Drosophila melanogaster: one gene and its partners. The protein of the gene in region 4 interacts with the protein of the main gene of each other region in a pairwise test. Each region holds a gene or a part of one and is shown on either strand. Other genes may lie near its edges.

Region 1 (3,624 bases), 3.5 Mb from region 4:
TCAGGTTGATTTTGTACCCCGTGGCGACAGGCATCCAATCCCCTGAAAGTATGTAAAGAAAATGAAATACTTACATTCCCACAAATGAGATGGATTTCCATTTCTATCAAAACAGATAATAAAACTTAATGAAAAGGTTCAGCCTATCGTTAGGATGGGGAAACGCAATCCATTCCTTATCTTGATCATAGTACACGTTTCAAAGCTACATAATAAGGAAAGAAACACTTTCTTTTCGCAGTGTATTTCTAGGACAAAGCATCTTTTTCCACGTGGCATATAAAAATGTGTGCATTTCATTAAGGATTCCTCTGTGGCTTCCCCTTACTCTGCAGAGTTTTCTAAAAGTGCTCATTGGCATTTTTATCAGGCACTTTGGCCAGAAGTTGCACTCATTATTCTGTGGCATTTCATTTGCCGGAATCTCCTGGGTTAATTCAACAGACCCCCAAAGTGAAACTCCTCGCATTAGAAAAGTTTTGGGGATAATTAGCCACTTCGCTGAGGGGTTGGTACTTCCAAAAAAGTTTTCAATTAGGCACATCGTTTTTGCATGTTTTTATTGCAGTAATATTTACACAAAGGGACACCAGAGCTAATTCCCACTTAGTACCTTTTTAAAACGCCTTGGGGGTTTGGTTCTTTTTGTGGTCTTTGCTTTGTACACTTCTCAATAAATAAATAAATAAACAATACGCCGAGAGCGGTGTGTTTCAGCTACTTAACTTAGAACGAAATAAATAAGGTTACAGTTTGGCCGAATTTCGTAAGGGGGGTTTTGGTCTCTAGACCCATGTTCACTTCTGACCCGCGTAGGCCAAGTCCTGGGCATCCTGCGGCTCTTGCGAGGATCGGGCCCAGGCATGAGGATCCCAGGCGGGCGATGGGTGCTCCAGGTGCTCGATGTGCTCCACGGGCAGATCCACGTGGTGATCGATGTGGTGCTCCAGATGATGATCGATGTGATGCGGCACTATGTGCTCGATGTGGTGGGGCACCACGTGCTCGATGTGGTGGGGCACCACGTGCTCAATGTGATGCGGCACCACATGATCCACGTGATGGGGATAGTGCACCACCTCGTAGTTGACAATCTTGGGCTTGGCAATCTTGAAAATAACCAAGGCTCCAGACAGCACCAATGAGAGCAGGCCCAAGGTCATGGCCTTCCAGGTCTTTAGGGCAATGAGTCCCAAGGCCAGTGGCACCAGCACAGTGGTCTTCAGTTTCAGGCCCAGAAGGAAGGGCAGAACTGCCTTGCGGATCATGCCACGTCCTGGAAAAGTAGGAAAAATACAGATTAGATTTATCACAAGTGGTAAAAATCCAAATATTTGTATGCTGATTTGCATAAACCCTAAACATTTTTGAAATTTTTGATAATGCCATTTGTCATATTCAAATTAGTTTAACGATTTCTATTAAACACAAGAGTGGCATTTCAATAATTAGTATCAACACTTGTTTCTGACACTGTGTTGCGAATTGAATGTTATTTTGAAAAAACGTAAGCTCGTTTTGGATCGTCATCATTACTTTTTTATCTGACTTAGATCTTGAGTTCTTACCTTCGTTAGCAGCTGCCAGGGGAACTAATCCTCCCTGAGTAAGCGGATTCGACATGAGGAAGTCGGGCACCAGGGAGCGGGCTTCCGAGGTGCGGAAGTACTCCGGAGCCTGGATCCTCAGCGAGTGGCTGCCCAGATAGCTGTCGATGTCGTCGAAGAGGCGCTCCTCCGGGTTCATGGATCGGGACTCGACCTTCTCCGCGGTACGGACAATCGACAGGCGCTCGGTGATGCGCACCTCCGGCTGCCGGAGGGCAGAGTTGAACCACTGCAGGGCCTTGGGACGCACGCAGGAAACACTGAGGTCCTTAAGGCAGCCATGGTACATGTCCAGGGCTAGTTGCGTGGCGGACTGGGGCGCCACCTGACCTTCGGTGGGCGCCGAGTGGGCGGTGGACAGCGCCGCAAGGGCGACTATCAGACAAGCGGCGGTGCTCTTCATCCTTTCGACGACGGTTAGTCCTCAACTCTCACTCTGGTTCGATGGTCCGGTGGTCAGGTGGTTTGGTGGTGCGCACGCGTTGGCCACTCAGCGGGTTATGCAAATGTCGCATGGGAACCGCTTGGTTTTTATACGACGGTACTTTGCTAATTGAATTGCGTATGCCAGGTACGCACGGAGCTCTTTTTCTGCCCACCGCTTTGGGCTCCAGCTTTAGCGACCATTTCGCTTTGTTGTCAAAGTCATGGAAAGCGCAAGTTGACCACCTGAGTTTCACCTTTGTGCAGGTATGGCCCTAGCTGTGCTTCTGGCCTCTGATTCTATTTCGATACTCTAGTCTATTGGGTCAGGCGAACGTTTTATGGGCACGCTGTTCTCTTTGTGGGAGGAGTAGGAATTCCTCATTGCGACGATTTCCCGCATAATACGCGCCATAATGGGCCGCACATAATTGAAAGTTATTTGATGGCTTCTTCTGCATCGACGGCCGGGGATCCGCTCGTAAAATCAAGTGCCCAGCAATCCGAGGTGCGTGCCTGGAAACCCAATTAAAATACCACTCACCCAGCAGATTGGATACTCGTTTGTACCCACGGGGGGCAGTCAAATGCACTTGCTGACCACGGAAGCTGAAGAAATACCATTTCATTTCATTCTCCATTGTGAATCGAGTCGCTTTGATTCGTTCTTTAATATGTATTAATATTTACCTTCCAATTGTAAGAACATTTGCATAGAATTGAATGAATGAATGAATTGAATGAATGCTGAGATATGTTTGAAGTTAATTGTTTAATGGATCTCCTGTGATGTAGGGCATCAAAAATTAAATCAAAACTGCTGTATGACTTCTGCGTTATTACGAAATAAATTGTATGGAAGATTTAAATAGAGTGAAAATAGATCGGTAACCAAAATCACAAAATGGAATAGCCGTTAACCACCGATTTTCTGTAATTGATTTGCAAATAACTGAACCTTGAAGTTAATTGCATCTTAATGAAAAAACATTATGGTCTGCGGAGAGTTTCATGAGACTCCGTAAATGGGACTGCGGTAAGCAATTAAAAAAATATTACTAACCTTTTTATGCACAGTTTCTAGATTTAAGTCATTTGTGCTAAATGTTAGTGCTCTCACAGTGCAGTTTTGATGTACCAACAAATAACGCGATGAATTATTATTATTATTATTAAAATTATGGGAAAAAGAAAGATCCCATTCACATAATAATGCTCTTGAACGTTCAGATCTAGGTGAATATATTTCTAAAACGTTCGATATTGCAATAGATCAAGGTAAATGTTGTAAATCGGAGAAACAATCGGAACATTGATAATTTCCTGGCTGTAGTTTTAAAGTAGTTGCAGATGAAAATTACCAATTCTCAATTTTTTGTTATATGTATTTGAGCTTAAAAGGATATCCTGGTGAACACCAATTGGCTTAATTTCTTCCAATAGAAACCCTAAATTAGTTTTAGTAATAAGTCATTATTTGATATTTAAAGTGCCACCTAATTTTCAAATTGTAAGTATAATTATAAACAAGAATACCGAGTATAAAGGAATAAAAGGAAATAGGCCCTTTAATGATCTTCTTTCCCATCCCAAT
Region 2 (3,900 bases), on a different chromosome or scaffold from region 4:
TATTCGTATTCCCAATCGATTGGCATTTCAATTTGAGCATTTTAATTTTTTTCGATTTTTTGCCAATTTTGATGATGTTACCCCTTATAAAAAATGCGAAAATTGTCAAAAATCGAATTTTCAAAAACCTGCAGATTTGTTATATGGGTCATTAGTATGGATCAATAGCTGTGCAAAAAAGTCATTCCTAGAGGTTTCTAACACTTCTTGGCTGATATATGGCGAAAAACCTTCTTTTTTCCGACCAAAAACACGTATTTTAGCTAACGCAACCGATAAAATGATCAAAATCTTGATTGTAGTACCTCGTTCAACTCGTATTCATATTCCCAATCGATTGACATTTCAATTTGAACATTTTAATTTTTTTAGATTTTTTGCCAATTTTGACGATGTAACCCCTTACAAAAAATGCGAAAATTGTAAAAAAAAAAATTTTCTTTATTTGACCAAAATTTGATACAAAATGAAAGTACAGATCAATAGATGTACAAGAATGTTAATTTTTTTGGCGTGGGACTCATTTTGGCCAAGTTATGATAAAAAGGCTATGGTTCATACAAATCATTTCTATTCAAATATCCAAATGCCCAATGAATCAATTAGCTGCAAAGTAAGACTTTTAATTTAATTGAATGCTATTCAACACTTTACTATTCTAAAATGGCATCTTAAAATGCCAGCACTACCCTTCAATGATAAATGCAAACTGCGATGAGTGTGACTGTTCCACGACCATGTCTATGACTATGGCAAATGCCGTTGACTCGGAGCACAATACACAATAATTGCCAAGTGACGGCAGCTTGGGGGCGCATCAATAACGAGTGCTTGTCACCCGGTGAGCCCACCATCTACCATCCGCCCGCCACCACCACCATCAATCCACATCCAGCCAGTGCACCTCGGATCCACTGGAGCACCGCCGGGAGCGAAATCACACCCATTTGTCAGGAAAAAGAAGTCGGGCGGCAAACGACGAAGTCCACGTCCATGGCGTCGGCGGCGGCGGCGGCGGCGGCGGCGGCTAATTGCAGTTCATGCGAAAAACATCGTTAATCACTCATTGACAGTTTGTTATTTGTTAAACAAAGCTAATGACTTAATGGCATAAATGGTGTGGCAACTGCACCGCGGCCCAAAGGATATCGAAAGTCGAGCCCGGTCGGAGCAGCTGAATAAATGACACGACAGCTCAGGGCAGTCGTCCTCTGTTCTCTGTTCTCCGTGTTCCGTAGTTATGTAGATAAACAATAAGCTGACAAGCCGGTGTAAAATTAATTGTCCTGGACAGCTTGGTTGGGCTTGGGGAGACTGGCGGAGGGGCGTGGTTTTATGGATGATCACGATATGCCCATGGGGCGAAGCAACTAGTTAGAAGTGGCAATGGAATCCCTCGTCTCACGGGATATGTGGATTGGCAACTAGAAATAAAGTAGGACTCATGGGCATTTTGTAAACGAGAAGTTAAACAATTACCACAGTACCTACAATATATTTCCAACACACATCCCTACTGAAACGGGTCCACATCCATGTCATCCACATCCACGTCGCTGGATAAGGGTCTCATTTGACCCATCCTATAGGCTTGCCTTGACCTCCGATCGATTTGGTGTGTATCTTCGTCATCATCCACATCCGGCGAAGGAACATGGGTTTGAATAAGGGTTCTTCTGTGCTTAACCGCCACTCGGCGGGCGTCCTCCATATTCCGCATGTGCATGACCACGGTTTCCGGCATATGGACCACCTTCCGCCGGACAGGATGATGCAGGAGCGGCACAGACGGGGCGATGGCGACCGTGTGGGAGGGGCACTGGGTGGCCAGGTTGCACTGATTGCGCCTCATGGGTCTCGAACGGATCTTGTACTTGCAGCAGTTCACGTGAAAAACCTTCGAATTATTAATCTTGGGACGAAGTGTGCTACGTTTATCTCTTTTCGGCAGCTTCGCTTTAATTTTCTGAGGAGGATGGACCTTCGAGTGGACTTTAACTTTCCTTCTAGTCTTGTGGCCTTTGCGTCCCATTTACTCGATGTGATAACAAGTAATTTGGAAATATACAATACGATAAATACTCTGACGTTTTTGATAATATTATTATCCAAAGCCTTTGAGATGATCATGAAAAAAACACGCTAAAATTGTATTCTATTCAATCATAGTAGGCTTTTCCCATCTCTGTCAGATGTCTGGGAAGTTTTCCTCTACACACTTCATTCGTATTTATTTCATCGTAGGATTCAGATCTATTGGTAGAAAGTAAGAAAAAAAAAATTCTCAAAATTTAAGTTATATACAAATTTGGAGTGAAATATTTTATAAACACTTTCGGAGTATCTCGAGCTTTCCACACATCGAAAATGAATTTTTGTTCAGTGCCTTACGAAGCTGACTACGGCATGTACGCCGATTCCAAGGTACACATAGTTGCATTGGTTCTGTAGACTTGGTAATAAGTCTAAGTCTATATTTCAGATGAAGAGCGTTCCTCAGTACCCCCTAAGCATGGGAGTAGGTCAGGGTCAAGGACAGTCCATGGCCATGCAGCCCCTGAATCCACCGCAGATGAATCTGCAGATGCAGATGCCCGTGTGCCAGTCGGGCGCTTCGTCGTACCCAATGCAGGGTATGCCGCTGGGCATGATGCAAGGGGGCAATCAGATGACCCCCATGTCCACGATGTCCACCCAGCTGCCGATTGGAGCGGTGACTCCCCTGAGCAGCATGACCATGATGCCCATGATGGGCAATCCCATGGGCGCCATCGATGCCCCCGGGATCAATGCAGTGCTGCCTGACCTGCAGCCGATGACCTCGATGGGTCAGATGCAGCCGCTGCAACAGTACAATCCCAGTGGATCTACCACCCAAATGCATCAAGGACGTCTGACGGGCGGCTGCAATGCTGTGATGTCTGCGCCCTGTCCCTCGTCGCCCTCGCAAGCTGGCGGCTGGAGCTCCGGTCCCAGCCCCAACCAAATGATGAACAGCTCCAATATGTGGCAATACAGTCAGCCTATGCAGAGTCACCAGCCGCAGTACCACCAGCAGCACCAGCAGCAGCAGCAACAGCAGCAGCAGCACTATCAGCAGCCGAGCCAGGGACACCAACAGGTCAACCGGATGAAGACCTCCTACGACGCTCCCATGTACCGGGATATGCGGAACGGTCTAAAGTAAGTAGATCTCGCCCAGGGGCGTTCGGCATCCTAATCCGATCCATAGCAATCCTTTTTAATCTCTAACCCTTAGCGCACCATCGATACACGATTCATCGAAGTACAGCAAAGGCAATCAATCATTCAATTGTGGTGAGTACTCACTTTTTTTTTTTGCATAAAAGAATGATATACAATGTTCTGCTTTCAGGAAAAGCGGTTAGCAAGGTCCCCCATTGGCGTTGACGAAACCCTTGAGCCCATCATTAGTTGTTTTTGTACTTTTGCATGATTGGTGTCTCTTTATTTATTTGTTCCAAGACTTCCCCTACGCAAGCAAACAGATACTCAAACCCACAAGAAACACAGACTTGGCCACAAACATATTGGTGTGGAATAAATAGTTTATATGTTTATGGCCGAAATGGAATTATTCATTCGTTGTTTTTCATCTGGCGACTTTAAACGCCCTGATTTATGGCCATCAGACATCAAAATTGGCAACATGTTCGCGGCAAGCGGAGTGTGGTGGAGGGTGGGGGGCTCGGCCAAGGAAAATTGGACGAGGGAAAAGCTGAAATGGCGATGAAAAATTTATGCTGACCGCATGATGAACGCATAAAAAATGTTGCCAACTTATGGCCAAAATGCAATCCACAACCCAGTCGCTGTGCGGAGTATAAACAATGGCTTTATCGGCAAAAGGCATCAGTTGGTTGGTTGGTTGGTTGGTTG
Region 3 (4,679 bases), on a different chromosome or scaffold from region 4:
ACTCGCTGGCGCAGCTGTAGTGCGCTCCATTGCCGGCGTCCTATCCACACAACTTGAACCCAGCTGGTGGCTATAGATACGTATAAGCAGTGTTAAGGAGTTAAGGATTTTGTAACTGTAAACAAATGCTGTAACTAGTTTGGCTTTAGTTTCCGAGTCTATTCTATTAGGTGCATATATATCGCAGATCAGGCCGAGATAATGTTATTGTTTTGATGGTTAGATCTTCGTTTTACCTTAGTTTCCACAACGCACCTTGTCACACCACAAACCACCTCAGCCCAATTATATTTCGTAATTAATTTATTATTGCCTAAGTAACGTAGTCACATATATTCGATTCGATTGGCCCGTGTGCTTGCCCGCTTTTCCAGCTTCTGGCTTCTGTTTCCGTTTGCAATGCTTTTGCGACTGTTGGTTCTCTTTGGGTTGGGATTACATCACTGCTAGAGCTAATAATGTTTTGCAACAACAACAAAATAACTGCCAAATAATAACAAAAAAAAAACCAAGTAAGTGTAATCCGATATCTTTGAATGAAATCGCGTAAATTCAGCACAGCACAATACTGTATCCCGAATATCGAATCGCATTACTAATTTAGTTCACCCCAAAGCCGTTTAGTTACAACAATTAGGAAGAGGAAAATCCAAATAAACTGAATACCAAGCTTTACTTTGAAAATCGTAGTGATTTAAAGTCTAAACTCTAATGAAATGAATTGCAAATTATGATGAATTTGGTCACAAACTAGGCGACTTTAACCGCAAACCACAAGGTATATACAAAATAAATATGTATATATATTTATATATATAAATAGAGAGATATATGTATGGGTACTGACGACACAAAACGAATGTTTTTAATTTAGCCGATTGCGAAGTTAACGCCTCCGATCATGTGCAACGCTATAGTTTTTATTTTGATAATAACGCAACTTAATGCAGAGCCTTCAACAAAGTCAATGCTTGAACGTGTAGGGAGCACACGTGCATGTGTATGTATAGTATAGTACCATAGATATCAAAGTTATATTTTTCGATGTTGCTACAATCGTGTAAAACTTCCCCACTTGCTCCTCCCCCTCCCATAAATGAAAACATGCAGACATAGGACGTACGTACATACACATCCACCCGTGTGAGCAGTGGACGACAGGTGGTCAATGGAGTAGTGCCCCCGGAAGAAAAATCGGGGGTACATATACGAGAAAACTGAATCCAAATTTTGATTGTAAATTATTTAACGTCTAACATAGTGTTTTAAACGAAACCAAAATAAACAAAATTGTTTAATGAAACGCTAGTACAATGAATTCGAGACTCCTATATCTGGAAAAGGAAGAGGCTAAGTATTGAATCTAATTTGTGGGAACTGTGGTTAAAAGAGCTAAATCTTAATTTATATACTCCTTACGCATTGTGTCGCATTACAGAAACAAGATCCAAAAAAATTTGAATTTAAACTTAGTTTCCGGTTATGATTTGCGTCTCCGGTTAACGGTTTTTTTATAGTATTCTTCCAGGGCTCCGTCGGTTTTCCGGTATACATTTAGTATTTAATTTCGGCGTATTTTTGCGCATTTATATAAGCCACGAACGGGTATTCCCTGGCTCCGCGCACTGTCACATTGGTCCAGAACTCTTTGAAATGCGAAGTTTTTCGATCGGATAAATTTGGAATAGAAAAGGTGAACATCCGGGGCGGATCTAGTCTGAATGGAGCGTGCCTTCGCGTGACTGAAACCCGATTGGCCACGCCTACTGCCACGGGAAAATATGAAAAGCGAGTGAAAATCACAACAAGCGCCAGGTGTAACTGGCAAACAAAGAATGTTTCGAAAGGGCGGTGCAGTGCAGTGATACATACAAAAACAACGCCAACTATATATATATATATATATATATGTATATAAGTATATGTACAACATGTGTGTGCGTGCTCGTTTTAAAATCGCTTAAAGAGACTTACTTCGGATTATAAAATATCCATGTTTTCCATGGAACTTGCTACCAAGAACTCCAATTAGGCCAAAAGGGCCACTGGAAGCTGGAAAAGTGGGAAATCCTCGTTGCGCCAGCGACCTTAATTTTTGTTGTTTTTTCTTTGTTCAACAAACTTTCCCAACGGTTTTGATTTATCTGTTAATATTACCCCAAATTCGACTGGAATTTTACACGATTTAACACGAACAACCATTAGTTTTGTAAAACGAAGCCCAAGTCATTTTTATAAGTTGAACAAGCTGCACTCTTAGCTGTCCAAATTGGGTGTTTTATTGAAAGTCCGGCGACGTAATCCTCCGCTTCCCTTCCAGCATCCGTTGGGGGATACGAGCCTGGAAGTCTGAAACTGCCACCGATCGCTGGATCCTACGGCTAATTGGATTTGGACGCCGCGTCGCATCATCATCATCTTTCACGTGCCCGAGTCCAACAGCCAGCTTAATTGGCTTAGGCGGCGGTTGTCGATGTTGGTGAGTGTCCGTCGGCTCATTTATGCTGTTTATTTCAATTTACCCAGCCCGAGAAGCGAGTTATTCAATTTGCGGTGTCGAATTAGTAGGTATAGCGCCCTTCCTGTCTCGAAATGTATGCTCCGCCCTCCCTTCTCGCCCAGAAATCCCACCTGGCGGCACTGCACTAATTGCTCCATCCCAACAAAACACTCAAAAAAGGAACTCCCGCAGACATAGACACGCACCCGCAGATGTATATACACTATACATATATTTCGGTGTAGATATGTGCCACACATCCCTGACCTGAGATACAAGTGCGTGTGGTGGGAACGACACCCAGCCGAGCGGAATCCGTGTATTTATAGAGTTTCGGGGTCTATTCTATCATTTCCCAGCCACACACTTTGCAGAACTTGGAAGCAGACTCTGAAAAAAAGCCCCACGTGATAGATTTAGCTTGAATAGGCAGAATTATAAATCTAATCTTTACAAAAACGGGAAGCATTTGTTGATTTCATTCGAAATTCGAGCTCGAAGTTGAGCCGAGAAAAAATAATCAAAATAAAAATAGTCAAAAAGCTCAGATGACTTTCAACAGTAAGCGATTGTTTTTGCTTTGTTTAGGATTAAAGTAAGATAAACATTAAAGCAAACCAAACAAGTTGATTCTAACCGACTAAGCGGTTTGCATGACTATTTTCAAATTCCAAAAATAAAAAAATGCAAATAGGGATAACGTTTCCAGAATGACAAGTCTGGGTATAAATAATTAAATGTAAAGCCACTTGCTCAAATAGCACTAATAAACAAGATATGTAGAATGCTAAATCCGAGATGAAAGTTATAAACATAATAACAAACACTGTACTATTATTTATGTATATGAAAACGCAGAGATAAGCGCAGAGTTTCGAATCATTAATCAAATACTCCAAACGCAAATGGAGAACTTATGACGCTGGTCGAAATCCGAAGACAAACGGAAAATGGACACAAGTTCATCCAAGGTTTACAATATGATAAGCGATTGGATAAGCTGGCAAGAAATTTGCCAACCTTCATATCAGATTCGCTGAGCAATGAAGCTGACTCAACTTTCAGTATCAAGATGATATAATGCATCTGCGGGCACGTGAGCATCTTCTGTTTCTGTCAGTGTACATGGCTTCCGTTTCTTCCTAAAAGTATAGCGAACTGCTTCTCGATCGTCTGCACCTTTTTTTTATAACTTTTCAGTTCATTTCCGCCCCTTTTCTCCGACTTCCTTTGTTTGGATTCGTTCAGTTCAGTTCAGTTTTCATCTAAAGAAGTTTACTTTGTATCTGCTTGTGTGATTAGCCCATTTTTCTGCGCTTTTTATCGGGGAGTGAGTCAGTCACGAGAAACGAGTTTTTGCTTTGGCACGACTTCACTCCATCGGCAGGGCAACCTGTTCTCTTGCGATGTCTTTCGCCTCGAACCGCCGTCCATGGACTCCACCTCCCAGCCGGCTGTTCCAAATTCGATGTGGATGTCACTTGGCGGAGGCGGTCCGAAATGAAAAGATGTGGATGCTGCAAAGTGTGTGTTCTCAATTCGGTCGAAAAGTTAGCTGCACTTTTCTGGGGAAAATTTTATATTTATAAACAGATTAATCACACACATCCCACTTGGAATTTGAAGATGACTCTGGGTCATTGTGTCATCTTTGGTTATCTCTGATTCAGACTCTTTCCGGCCTCGTAAATCAGTAAAGTTCAGTGCTGCTATATACTTATGGTCTATGTAAAAATAATCTTAATGGCATCCATTTCATAGAACTCTCGGAGTTCTTGAGAACGGAATTACTAGATAATTGAAGGAATATGTTCAACTCTGACATTATAAGAAAACGTTTTCAATTTGACAACTGCTAGACCACTTATTATTCCAAGTTATCAGCAATGCTGATTGCTGTCATTGGTCGTCATAAAACCTATTTATTCTAGTATACATTCCAATAATAACTGCAGACGATTTACGTTCATGGGAATTCTTTTAAATATTTATTTACCACTCAGCCATTTTTCTTCGGGACTGGCATTGATTATGGCTCTATGGATAGGGGGAGAGCGGTAATTGTTGTTATTAATGCAACCTTCACTTTGTATTTAATTCTTTTGTTTATACAAGCCATAAGCAACCGACGCTCAGGTACCGTCATTAAGTTTATCGTGTTCGGATTCCACTTTTTGCT
Region 4 (5,741 bases):
TTTACCGGACAGCCGGCGGAAATTAGAAAGCAAACGCAGTTCAGTTTGCCCAGGAAGCAGGCCAGGTGCATGGCGGAGCGACCATCGCAGTTGGTGTCGCACAGATTGGCGCCGTACTGCTTAAGATCGCCCAACTTGTGGACATCACCTTCGGTGACCGCGGCCGCCACCAAAGCGGGATAGAATGTGGAGCACATCTGCTGCCGTTCCATCGCCGTCGACATGTGCAATGTGCGGGCCACGCCCTCGATCAGATCAATGTCGTTAATCTTGGCAACCTTATTGGTGGTCAGCTCTCCGCGCAAACTTAGTAGCATCACCTTCTTCTTGTTGGGAATGTCCCACTCCGGCTTGGACAGCACATAGGCCAGTTTGGTAAAGGCTGCCTCCTGAGTCATATCGTAGCCGGGTATTACGCCCACTTCCATCAGACCCTGGCTTGTCTCGTAAATGTTGGCCACCATGCCCGCCGAGCACTGCGTAATGTTGACAATAATAACGCCTCTGTGAACCGCCTCCCTCAGTTCGTCCAGCAAGTCCTCACGATTAACCGGAAAATTGCCGGCCCCAAAGGTCTGGAGGACAACACCTTTCGTTGGCTCTTTCAGGATTGCCTGCACCACACTGGCACTTATTCCCGGGTAAATACGCAGCAGCGCCACGTTCTTTTCGAGTTCCGAATGAAGTGAAAATGGTTTAATATTGCACGGTCGGAAGATTTGGCGGCTGTTGATCTCAATGTTGACACTCGCCCGACCCAATGGTGCAAAATTTGGTGAGTCCAGTGCGTGAAAAGAGTCAGAATTGAGCTTCGTGGAGCGACAGCCACGTAGAATCTTGTTGCCGAAGAAGACCAGCACTTCGGGTATACTGTAATTTCCTGCTATGAGAAGTGCGCCCAAGAAGTTCTCCCGCCCATCGCTGCGGGCTTCAAAGATCGGAATCTGTGCCCCAGTGAATACCACGGGCTTGTTCAGGCTCTCAAGCATGAACGCTAGTGCCGAGGCGGAGTAGGCTAGGGTATCCGTTCCATGGAGGATCACAAAGCCGTCGTAGGACTTGTATGTCTTCTGCGAAAAAAGTTAGTTGCATATTTTGTATTAACCTGATGATCCTCGACTCTCAACTTACTCCCACTTCGTTGGCAATGCGCTTCCAGTCGCAGAAGCCCATGCAGCTGGAGTCCATCAGTGGGCAGAACTCAATCAAATCGTAAAGGACTCTATACGGAGCTCCAGACACTGCGGGTAGCACCATCATGGGACCATCATTATCCTTGCTGGTGTAATTCCTGTCGTGGCAGCTGGGAAACTCTTGAAGCTGCCGAGCCAGCACCTTGGGCGCGGTGTGCAGTACTGATGAGAAACAATTGATTAGTACACGGACAAGAGCCATTGATATACCCACCTCCGGACTCGTTGCGGATCATTCCGATGGTTCCACCCACGTAGATGACATGGACGCGAGCCTCCTTCTTCAAACAACCGCACTTCGCCGCCGGCATTTTGGGCTTTTTCGAAATTTTGAGTGGTGTCCGAAACTAAACTAAAGCGTAGTTCCAAAGGCTCAGAGTGTGACAGCAAGATCCATGAGCTTTTTGTTTTGATGCTTAATACAAGTCATAACTTTACAATATTTTCAAATTTACCACCAAGCGAAATAAACCGTTGCTTGACGAAAAGGTGGTATGACCGTATTGCATGGGAATTTAACCGAGAGTTAGAGATGTACACTGCTTCACAAGAAATATCGTTGCTTATAATTGTGGAAATGCATATACTTTCTGATGCCCAAATTAATTTTATTTCTATATTAATTATTTTTTAATGATGAATTGTTGTTTGGAAACCATCAAAAACCTTGGTGAGTTAACACATACAAAATCAAAAGTGGAAAGTTCAGCAAAACAACTAAATGCAACAGGGACCCCCCGTAAACAGTGACTCGTCATGGCTGGGAACAGTCACGACCAATTTGCCCATCCCTAGTTTCTACAGTGCAGTGCAACAAATAATAAATAAATAAATAGCCTGGCACAAAGAGTTAATCGAATAAATTGCACCCCGCAGCGCACGTCAAGTGGGTTGGGTACCGAAATCGCGAGTTATCTGCTCCGCTGACGCCGCTGCCACTGCTCCGCCATATCAGTTGCTGATTGGAGCGCTGGGAGCACGGAAGCCACACAAATAGAGGCGCATTTAGAGCAATCCCCACCGTCCGCTGCTGCGGCAGCCCGCGGGTCATCGGATTGCCATGTCCCACTTCACGCATGCCTCCAGCAGCGACCTGGTCAACCTCAATGTGGGTGGTCAGCGGTAAGAACAAAGAACCAACACATTACGGCCCACTAACGGCATTGATGACGCATGCAAACTCCATCTCACTATCCATAGCTTTTCCACGTCGCGGCAAACGCTTACGTGGATCCCGGACACCTTCTTCACGGCTCTTCTCAGCGGACGCATCTCGAGTCTCAGAGACGAGCACAATGCCATCTTTATTGATCGCGATCCGACGCTCTTCTCGATCATACTTAACTACTTAAGGACCAAGGACATCGACATCAAGAACTGCGAAATACGCGCTCTGCGCCATGAGGCCGAGTACTATGGCATCACGCCGCTGACCAAGCGCCTGGCCCTCTGCGAAGACCTTAACCACTCGTCCTGCGGTGATTTGCTGTTCTACGGATTTCTGGCGGCGCCGCCCATGCCGTCAAACGAAGCTGTGGCTGCTACTAGCGTTGACGAGTCATTGCCCTCCACTTCGGCCAGTGCGATTGGCAGTCGTCCTGGGTCCATGGTGCGCGTTCCCGAACCCTCACGCTCCTCACACTCGCGCAATTCATCATGGGATCTGCGCCTTGGTCGCACAGGTAGCACTGGCAATGGTGCCAATCCCCCAGCTCCCATGTTGCACTCACGTAATCCCTCGATTGACTTTATGCGCCACTCTCGGAACTCCTCGGCCGATCTGAACAAAGTCTTTCGAAACGAAGTTGGCCTGGTATTCAGTCCCACGCAGAACTCAAACTGGGTGGACCCGTTGCGAGTGCAAATCATTAAGGCGCACCAAAATTGGATAGCAGTGGCTTACGCACACTTTGTGACTTGCTACCGGGTGAAAGACTCCAACGGATGGCAGCAGGTGTTCACATCGCCCCACATCGACGCCACTATCGAAAGAATCGCCATCAACTCAAAGGTGAATACTTCCGCAGCAGAGCCACTGCCCAGCAAGATGGTGGCCATTTCTTACGGCAGTCAGATAAGATTGTGGAGCATTCAGGAGGGCGGCCAGAAAACGGATGTGGGCACGTTTAATTTAAATGTGCGAGTGGAGTACCTGTTCTTTATCGGCAGTCAGCTGGTGGCCCTGTCATCTTCCGGCAAGATCGGCGTCTGGCATGCGATGACGCAGCACTGGCAGATTCAGGACCTAGTGCCCGTGCTCTCATTCGATTCCGCAGGCTCTTTTTTGCTGCTGGGCTGCAACAACGGCTCCATTTACTACATAGACATGCAGAAGTTCCCGCTCCGGATAAAGGACAATGATTTACTGGTTACCGAGCTCTACAAAGATGTCACACTAGACCCTATCACGGCCATCTCGGTCTACCTTACCCCAAAAACCTCGAGCATAAGTGGCAATTGGATTGAAATTGCCTATGGCACAAAGTCGGGAGCGGTTCGAATCATTGTCCAGCATCCGGAGACAGCTGGCCATGGACCACACCTGTTCGAGACCTTCTTTGTGCACCAAAGCCCCGTAACGAAGGTGATGCTGTCGGAGAAATACCTCGTCTCCGTGTGCAGCGAATACCACCACGTGCGAACATGGCGTCTGACCCGCTTCCGGGGCATGCTCTCCACCCAGCCGGGATCCACGCCGGAAGCATCGTTCAAAATCGTGTCGCTGGAAGCTACCGATACGAGCTACAGCTATGCGGCTGGAAATGATTTTGGACCTTACGGTGACTACGACGACATGATATTTGTGCAAAAGGTGGTGCCCGAGACGGATCAGCTGTACGTACGCTTGGCCTCCAACGGTGATCGGGTGTGCGTCATTAGATCCGTAGATAGCTCCACAATTTCGGCCTTCTGTGTGCTCGAGTGCGAGGTATCGTCCCGGTTCATACTCACCGGTCACTGCAACGGCGCTATTCAAATGTGGGACCTAACCACTGCACTGGCGCTGCTCTCCAAGGATGAGCCGCAGCAGAAAATCAATGGCGGACCCGACACCAATGAGCTTCTCCGCCTACTTGACCAGTGTGAAATCAGCAATTCATCATGCACAACACCTTGTATGTCACCGTGTCTATCAGCTATGGGCAACGGCTCTGGAATGGCCTCCTCCATAGCCCGCATGAAAGCCAGCAACATAGCCCTGCTAAATCGGGAACCAGCAATGGCAATGGCCGTCCAAGCCGTCCAGCCGCCCGCTCAGGTCCAACCTGCTCTTCCAGAGGCTGTGGCGCCGGCAGCTGCTATCCCGATGGCTGACGACAACAACGAATGAGACGTGGAAGCGGCTGCTTGATTGGCGCTTGTCGGGCGCGTTTCATCGTTTACATTTCACAGGTATAGCTTAATCTTCGACTACCAGTTTATATTCCTGCAGTTCGTGGTGTGCGCCCTCATCTACGTCTGGGTGACGCGACTCACCCGCGGTCCAGCCACTGGGCCGTGATGAACTGCCAGCAGGCATTTACCCAATCAATTAATCTCCATTATATGTGCTCGATGTGTTTGCAAATGCAATGTGTATCCCGTAAACCCATTTTTTGTGCTCCTCCAAACTTGGATCGTACAGTTAGTAATTTAAAAAAAAAACGTCTGTCTTTGTTCTAGTTAAAGTTATGAAAATTAGTTAAAACCATGTAAACCAGAGTATAAGACTTCTGCAACCGATCATCTATAATTAGCACAACTCTCCTAAAGGGTGCTCCATCAGGACAGATACGAAATCGTTCGGCTTGGATAAGATTGGTTGCCTTAAGCAAAGAAAGTTCATTAAACAGCCAATCAGTTGATTGTCAACCTTGAAGATGATTACTTGTGATTAAAATCGATAGAGCGACTGCTTCAAATTCGAATCTGTCCTGTTGCATGCAATGCCACACATGAATATAATGATACGCCTTGTTGCAACCAGTAAACAGCTATACATATTCAATATAAATAAAGATAATTATACACAAAGAGATATCAAAATAGCGAGCGAGTTGTGTCATCAATAATTTATTGAACATTTTATCTTAGTTTCTTGATGGTTGAAGTGTTCCATTAACATTTATCAAATACAAATACTTGGCTTGCATTCTCGTGGGTGTTGTGTGTGTAAATACGTGTATATACGATATCCTACGCCTATACCGGACCTCAGTAAAGTAAAAAAGCAGCAAAAACGCCAAAACATATAAAAATATATATAATATACATTTGTGTATTGTAGGTAAGTTACCCCAACCCAACCCCGACCGCCATTTAAATATCATTGGCCTAAACACAACCCACTAACGACCGCCGGTGTGCTTAATAAACAATTTAAACAAGTGGCTCGTCAAGTGGGACCCCTGCCTTTAATTTACCTAAAATAGGACGCACTGGTACTGAGATAGAATAATAATAATGGAGTAGATACTTGGAGCGATTACCCACCCTCGCCCGGAAGCAATTGTCGAGCCGTTCATACAAATAGTTTGTACACAAATTCAACCTAAAGCTATGCTATAT

What was found.
Region 1: the proteins of CG9467 (region 4) and Osi18 interact in a two-hybrid assay, tested with the Drosophila melanogaster proteins (one large-scale study listed by BioGRID).
Region 2: the proteins of CG9467 (region 4) and atlas interact in a two-hybrid assay, tested with the Drosophila melanogaster proteins (one large-scale study listed by BioGRID).
Region 3: the proteins of CG9467 (region 4) and promL interact in a two-hybrid assay, tested with the Drosophila melanogaster proteins (one large-scale study listed by BioGRID).

What each region holds. Positions count from the first base shown.
Region 1 is NT_033777.3:6,328,737-6,332,360, reverse strand, and holds Osi18 (osiris 18), read right to left. Parts: upstream 2,114-3,624; 5' UTR 2,011-2,113; coding exon 1,569-2,010; intron 1,277-1,568; coding exon 798-1,276; 3' UTR 552-797; downstream 1-551.
Region 2 is NT_033778.4:23,282,436-23,286,335, reverse strand, and holds atlas (atlas), read right to left. Parts: upstream 2,110-3,900; 5' UTR 2,033-2,109; coding exon 1,514-2,032; 3' UTR 1,492-1,513; exon of another isoform or gene 1,488-1,491; intron 1,425-1,487; 3' UTR 515-1,424; downstream 1-514. Other genes in the region: CG3124 (uncharacterized protein), read left to right, coding at 2,368-2,424, 2,483-3,183, 3,260-3,318, 3,377-3,411.
Region 3 is NT_037436.4:3,124,667-3,129,345, reverse strand, and holds the start of promL (prominin-like), read left to right. Parts: upstream 1-1,621; 5' UTR 1,622-1,693; intron 1,694-2,129; exon of another isoform or gene 2,130-2,320; 5' UTR 2,321-2,479; intron 2,480-4,679. Other genes in the region: CG11537 (uncharacterized protein), read left to right, coding at 1-20.
Region 4 is NT_033777.3:9,797,243-9,802,983, reverse strand, and holds CG9467 (uncharacterized protein), read left to right. Parts: upstream 1-1,957; 5' UTR 1,958-2,253; coding exon 2,254-2,315; intron 2,316-2,393; coding exon 2,394-4,524; coding exon of another isoform or gene 4,525-4,695; 3' UTR 4,696-5,215; downstream 5,216-5,741. Other genes in the region: CG8526 (uncharacterized protein), read right to left, coding at 1-1,070, 1,132-1,355, 1,408-1,504.